Oryctolagus cuniculus: one gene and its partner. The protein of the gene in region 2 purifies or fractionates together with the protein of the main gene of each other region. This does not show direct contact. Links are inferred from orthologs where the notes say so. Each region holds a gene or a part of one and is shown on either strand. Other genes may lie near its edges.

What was found. Proteins that work in one complex are often made in the same cells at the same time.
Region 1: the proteins of ITGA4 (region 2) and ITGB1 purify together in Homo sapiens (co-immunoprecipitation; 4 studies listed by BioGRID and IntAct, with this or other methods). This does not show direct contact. The link is inferred for Oryctolagus cuniculus from reciprocal best matches to the Homo sapiens genes ITGA4 and ITGB1.

The regions. Positions count from the first base shown.
Region 1 is NC_091444.1:108,925,883-108,929,382, reverse strand, and holds part of ITGB1 (integrin beta-1), read right to left. Parts: intron 3,053-3,500; coding exon 2,957-3,052; intron 2,268-2,956; coding exon 2,178-2,267; intron 403-2,177; coding exon 262-402; intron 125-261; coding exon 1-124.
Region 2 is NC_091434.1:59,268,351-59,271,850, reverse strand, and holds part of ITGA4 (integrin alpha-4), read left to right. Parts: intron 1-2,122; coding exon 2,123-2,230; intron 2,231-3,010; coding exon 3,011-3,136; intron 3,137-3,500. UniProt on the Homo sapiens protein: Integrins alpha-4/beta-1 (VLA-4) and alpha-4/beta-7 are receptors for fibronectin. They recognize one or more domains within the alternatively spliced CS-1 and CS-5 regions of fibronectin. They are also receptors for VCAM1.

The sequences.
Region 1 (3,500 bases), on a different chromosome or scaffold from region 2:
CACACTTGCAGATGAACTCAAGGACCACCTCCACCTCCTCGGTGAAGCCCAGAGGCTTGATTTTAATGGTTTCAGAATGCTTAACTGGACACTGATTTGAAGTTATGCTGATTTCAAAGTGAACCTTGAAGGAAAAAAGCAAGATTAAGTGAACAATAAGCTAAGCAACATGAATCTGCTAAAAACTATCTCAAAAACCCACTCATTTCTTTTTAGTATGTTTCAAATCATGAACTGCATTTGCTTATAAATAAGCAATACCTCATCTCCAATGGAGATATTGGAGCACTTCCTTCCGTTCTCCCCTGTGCCATTCACCCCGTTCTTGCAGTAAGATTTGTAATTTATCGTTACTCCTTCTGGCAATTTGCTGTTTTCCAAAATGACTTCTGAAGAAAGGGACTAAAAGAAAGACTAATTATACACAAGAAAGTTGAAATGCTCCTGGGATGCATAAGATGACCAGTCAAGACAGTATTGTAAAGTCTTACAAAACACAAACAGGCACTGGTTAATAAGGGTCTCATCTGTAGAACCACCTACATGGTTGAAAGGGCATTCTGTTCCTACAACGAGGTAAAACAGCAAGGATCGTGCAGTCCCAAGGCCTGATACTGACGAGGAGGAGTGTGTTCCTTACCCCCTGGGCAAAGTCTCCAGGTCCTCAACTCACTATGGCCAAGGCACTCTACTGCGCAGTCTGGGAGCGACTGTGCTTGGAAGCCACTGTAAGCCTGGCCAGCAAAGACTAAAAACTCTTAAGGGGGAAAGACTCAAGCTAGTGCGGGCAGTCAGCCTAGAGGTTAATAATGATGCCCACACCCTACAAGTGGGTTTGAGGATGGCCTCTGGCTTCTGATTCCAACCTCCTGCCAATGCAGACCCAGGTGTGCGGCAGTGCTAGCTTCCTGCCAACCATGTGGGACACCGAGTTCTCTGCTCCCAGCTTCAGCCCAGCACAGTCCCAGCCTTGTGGACATCTGGGGAGTGAACCAGTAGATGGGAGTTCTGTCTGTATATAAACGAACATTTTGTAAAAACTCCGACCTCTCAGAACAATGAGGGCTGCAGTAGCAAACTACCTGTTGCTCACACTCTTAATAAAGATCAAAGTTGGGAAAACAGTCTGTTGAGAAAAAACAGCTGGGGGAAGACAAAGGAACTACTGGAATCTTCAAAGTTGCTGGGTGGCATCCGCCCTACTGGTTACAACACTAACTAGGATGCCCACGACCCACACCACATGCCTGGGTTTGACTGCCAGCTGGCCAGTTCCTGATTCCAACTCTAGGAGACAGCAGTAATGACTGAAGTCGCTGGGTTCCTGCCACCAACATGGGAGACCTGGATTGAGTTTCCAGCCCCAGCTTTGGCCCCCGAGCCCTTATGGGTATTAAGGGTGTTAACCAACAAATGGAAACTCTCAAAAAAAAAGTTAAAAAACAAAGCCCAGTCCATCTTTCTGACTCAGCTCTTTCCAAAACATTTTTAGACTCCCACTGCAAAAAAACATCAAAAATTTAACCAACCAAAGGGTGAGTGGGGTGAAAGTATACAGTGCATTTCCAAACCACTGCTAAGCAGTGCTTCCTGAGAGCCATTAACGGTTTTCTGAATTGAGATCTAGAGAGAGCACAGTTCCTCTCTGACTTCACCTCACCTGCACATGTGCAGAAAAAACAATCCTATAAGCCTGTTAAAATAATCAAGCTGCAGACAAGTACATGTTTACAGTTTACGCATTCTATGCTGTATGTAGCGATGAATGTGTGTACTCCCCCCTAAAAACAGAAAACATGTTCTCTGAATGTGTGGAAGGAAAGAAACAGCCGAAAAGCTTTTCTACCACAATTCACCAAAATAGAAGAATCTATAAAGAACACTTTGGAGGGAGAGGATGGCTGGGCCCCTACAGATCAGACGTCAGTTACACATCACACCTGCTTTGTTTCCCCACAGGGACATCTCACTTGGTGATGTACAGACTTGAGGTTTTCCCACATGGCTCTGTCACGTTTTTGCTTTGTTTAGACTATGCTTCTCTGAGACAATATCAAGTTTTCCCCCAGATACAGCACATAAGTTGTGTGTTATCCTCTGGGCTTCCCAGCCTGTGTTCTAAGGAGTTTCACCCTCACAGGGCACTGTCAGAGCTGCTCTGATCCACAGGCACTCACGTTGTAGGCATCAATGATCAGCTGGATGACATTGCTGGAGTTTGCAGACAACGTTCCCACTGCTGACTTAGGGATCAAGTTTTTCAGTTCCTGCAATTAAAAGACAAAGCATGTCAAATACTATTCATCAACCAGGTAGCACTTACTGAACAAGCAACCTGCATCTTTAAACACTCATTCCCTATACATTTCCTAAATAACTTCGGGAGTCAAACCTGAAAAAGACGAGTTTTATGATGTGATTAAAATTAACATCAACCTCTTTTGTAAAATTCAGTCTGCCTGGGCTTGCACTGTGGTACAGCAGGTTAAAGCCCCAGCCTGTGGCACCAGCATTCCATATAGGCACCGGTTTGAGCCCCAGCTGCTCCACTTCTGATCCAGCTCCCTGCTAATGCACCTAGGAAAGCAGTGCAAGACAGCCCAAGTGCTTGGGCCCCTGCACCCACGTGGGAGACCCAGAAGAAGCTCCTGGCTCCTGGCTTCAGATCAGCTCAGCTCCGGCCGTTTTAGCCATTTGGGGAGTGAACCAGGGATGGAAGACCTCCCTCCCTCCCTCTCTCCCCACCTCTCCCCCTCCCTCTCTCTCTACCTCTCTCTGTCTCTACCCATCTCTGTAACTCTGACCTTCAAATAAATCTTTTTAAAGGAAAAATTCAGTCTGCCTACCTAGTGGCTTCTTCCTACACTTTAATTCATAAATGCTTTTTACCTCTAATGACAACAACAACAAAAATCCTAGCACTTTGTTTTTTTTTTTTTTCTTATTTCACACATACCTTGTAAACAGGCTGAAATTCTTCAGTAACTGCAAAAATAGTCTGAATGTTATTTTCACTGAGTTTCTGGACGAGGTGGGCAATAGAAGGGTAGTCCTAAGAAATCAAGAGACACAGTTTAGTGCACAGGTCCTCCTTCCACTCTGCTCTGTGAAAAACCCAATACCTGCACAGGTGACAGTGCGGGTGGTAGGTCAGCTGAGGGTTCCCCATGCTGCCCCCTCTACTTGCCTGTACATATGAAAACCTCCACACCGAAAAGGTCTTAAACAACCAGACAATCTGTGTATACTGAGCTGTCAGGAATCTGCTATCTGTCACTTCAGATAAAGAACAAAATTCAACATTTGGATTTCTTCTAGAATTTGAATAATTTGCCTTTTTTTTTTTTCCAATAAAGGCAGGTGCCTGCTTCTAAAAACCACCTAAGATTAAACACTGCAAGACTTGTTTAGAAGCACCATTGACTTTACTACCCAGTGTATGGCAGTGAGCAGACAGCTGTGGGTGAGGCAGGGGCTGAAGTGGTGTCTGAGACAGCCCC
Region 2 (3,500 bases):
TATCCAAGTTTATCAACACCAATGAAATATCCCCTATGCATCTTTTTAAAAAAAAATACAGGCTAATAATCCCTTATCCAAAATTCATGGGACCGAAAAAGAAATGTTTCATATTTTGGAAGATTTTGGATTTTTGGAATCCAAAAATATAAATTATGCCCAAATCTAAAATTTGTAGAAACAAGACACTTTCAAATCGGAGGTGCTCAACCTGCATTATTTAACTATTTATTTTGACAGGCAGAGTGGACAGTGAGAGAGAGAGACAGAGAGAAAGGTCTTCCTTTGCCTTTGGTTCACCCTCCAATGGCCGCCGCGGCCAGCGCACCATGCTGATCCAAAGGCGAGAGCCAGGTACTTATCCTGGTCTCCCATGGGGTGCAGGGCCCAAGCACTTGGGCCATCCTCCACTGCACTCCCTGGCCACAGCAGAAAGCTGGCCTGGAAGAGGGGCAACAGGGACAGAATCCGGTGCCCCGACCGGGACTAGAACCTGGTGTGCCTGCACTGCTAGGTGGAGGAATAGCCTAGTGAGCCGCGGCACCGGCCAAAACCTGCATTATTAAAACCAGTTTTAGTTTCCCAGCCGATGCCGCGGCTCAACAGGCTAATCTTCCGCCTGCGGCGCCAGCACACTGGGTTCTAGTCCCGGTCAGGGCGCCGGATTCGGTCCCGGTTGCCCCTCTTCCAGGCCAGCTCTCTGCTGTGGCCAGGGAGTGCAGTGGAGGATGGCCCAAGCGCTTGGGCCCTGCACCTCATGGGAGACCAGGATAAGTACCTGGCTCTTGCCTTTGGATCAGCATGGTGCGCTGGCCGCGGCGGCCATTGGAGGGTGAACCAACAGCAAAGGAAGACCTTTCTCTCTGTCTCTCTCTCTCACTGTCCACTCTGCCTGTCAAAAACAAAACAAAACAAAACAAAACAAAACAAAAAAAACAGTTATAGTTTCCTAGAACTCAGTAACATTCTGTTTTTTAAAAATAAATTTCAGTCACTTGTTACTGATCATCTGGTTAGCATGGAGTGATCCTAAAACACAGGATATAGAGCTCGAATCCCTGAATTTGTCACCTTTTTAAAAAGATTTTATTTAGGGGCTGGCGCCGTGGCTCACTTGGTTAATCCTCCTCCTGCAGCGCCGGCATCCTATATGGGTGCTGGGTTCTAGTCCAGTTGCCCCTCTTCCAATCCAGCTCTCTGCTGTGTTCCAGGAAGGCAGTGGAGGATGGCCCAAGTGCTTGGGCCCTGCACCTGCATGGGAGACCAGGAGGAAGCACCTGTCTCCTGGCTTCGGATCGGCACGGTGCGCCGGCCATGGCAGCCATTTGAGGGGTGAACCAACAGAAGGAAGACCTTTCTCCCAGTCTCTCTCTCACTAACTCTGCCTGTAAAATTAAAAAAAAAAAAAAAAGATTTTATTTGAGAGGCAGAGTTAGAGAGAGGGAGGCTTTCCATCTGCTGGTTCATTCCCCAAATGGCTGCAATGGCCAGTGTTAGGCCCATCTAAAGCCAGGAGCTTCTTCTGGGTCTCCCACATAGATGCAGGGGCCCAAGGGCTTGGGCCATCTTCCACTGCTTTCCCAGGCCATAGCAGAGAGCTGGTTAGGAAGAGGATCAGCTGGGACTTGAACCAATGCCCATATAGGATGCTGGTGCTACAGGCGGAGGCTTAGTCTGACTATGCCACAGTACAGGCCCCAAATTTGTTACTTTTTATCTTTCATTTGGGGAATATCACTGACACTTCTTAGAATTTTTCTGTGCTGGTACAGGGTGTAATGTTGGCCCACTTCACAAGATAGTTATGAAGACCAAATGCTATTTTAAGAATCCATAATGTGTATTGCTGTTGATGTCTCAATCTCGAGACAGTTTCTAGAAGAAACTGTCAGCCTAAAAATGCCTAAAGAGGGCTACAAAACTGACTAGAATTTGAAATTACTAGTAAACTTTAAAAATTATGACCATGGGTATTTTGCGCTCACTGTGCAGCTGCCAACTATAAAACTCCAAGATCACAAATGTTGCAGGGAATATAAGAGGTGACCTACAAGCTCAATGATTTTTATACTCACAATTATGAAAAACATTGAAAATGATTTTTTAAACCTTTCCTTTCCAGGTTATTAACACTGGCAATAGCATGGCTCCAAATGTAAGCATGGAAATAATGGTACCAAATTCTTTTATGCCCCAAACCAATAAACTGTTCAACATTTTGGATGTCCAGGTAAAAATGAGTTTCTTCTCTCAGACCTTTATTGGGTGTGCCTTAAATACTGAAACAAATGCAAACCTATACTTTAAGTAATCTCACAGATTTCTCTTATTTTAGCCACATTCAAAGCTGTGAAGTCATGATGCATTTATTGAATATGCTTTGTAGAAATACAGTGGAACTTCTATACTTGACACAATAACAGAACTATGCTCTGCCATCTTTATTGTTTTTAAGATACATTAAAATGTGACATACACCTGTGAGAGTAGTTTGGGTAGAATTCTCCATAAATCTTGAAGCCATTGTTGAAAGATCACAATTAACACTCTTTAAAAGGAAGTAACACTCAGATCACTTTTTAACAACTGATATTTTTGTGTTCATTACATCAGACCTATTTTTGTTTCTCAGTTTCAAGACAAGCAACCAAGAAATGAATGTGCTGAGTGGGTTTGAGTAAGAGTTTTAATATCTTACATGAACTCCAGATTTGTAGACTATAACCTATATTAACTTCATGTCAATGTTCAAACATCATTTTTTTTATATTTCCTCAAGGCTAAGACTATTTTGAGCCTAGGACATATATTCAACCCCCCTACAATTTTGCTGGATTTTCTCTTTTTGCCACAGAAGTGTAATCTCTTTCCAATAACCTGTCCAAAGGTATTTTCACAATGTCAGAGGTCCTTGATATATTTTAGGAAACATAAGAAATTAAGACTCATAAAAAGCATGCTGTGTGCGTTCCTTCCCATGATGAAAGATTTTTCTTACTTACTGTCATAGATGACCACTGGAGAATGCTTCTTTGAAACTTATCAAAGAGAATGTGCATTAGAGCAGCCAAAGGGTGCCATGGAGACCTTGAAAGGCATATTCACGTTCTTGTCAAAGACTGATAAGAGGCTGTTGGTAAGTTTCTGTTGTTCAACAGAACTTAAGACACACTTAAGACCTGAAGTCAACGGATTGAAGTTGTCAGCTGAAGGGTAGGAGAAAGTACAAGTTGCAATTTTCTTGAGTGTAAGGGACATGTATGCTTGGAGTTGTGATTTAGACCTAGGCTTAAATAGGAAGGTCTCCAAAAAGTTCATGGAAAATGGAAAATGCATATTATGAGAAAACAGACACAGGAATGCAAACTTTTGAAGTATCCATACAGTTTCATTATTTATCTACCAAATGGTCATTAACTGTCAGCCAGACAATGTTTCAGACCCATCAGAATGCCATGGTGCTCACCTGGCCAGCATGAAGTTAATTTTCATTCCTTTTA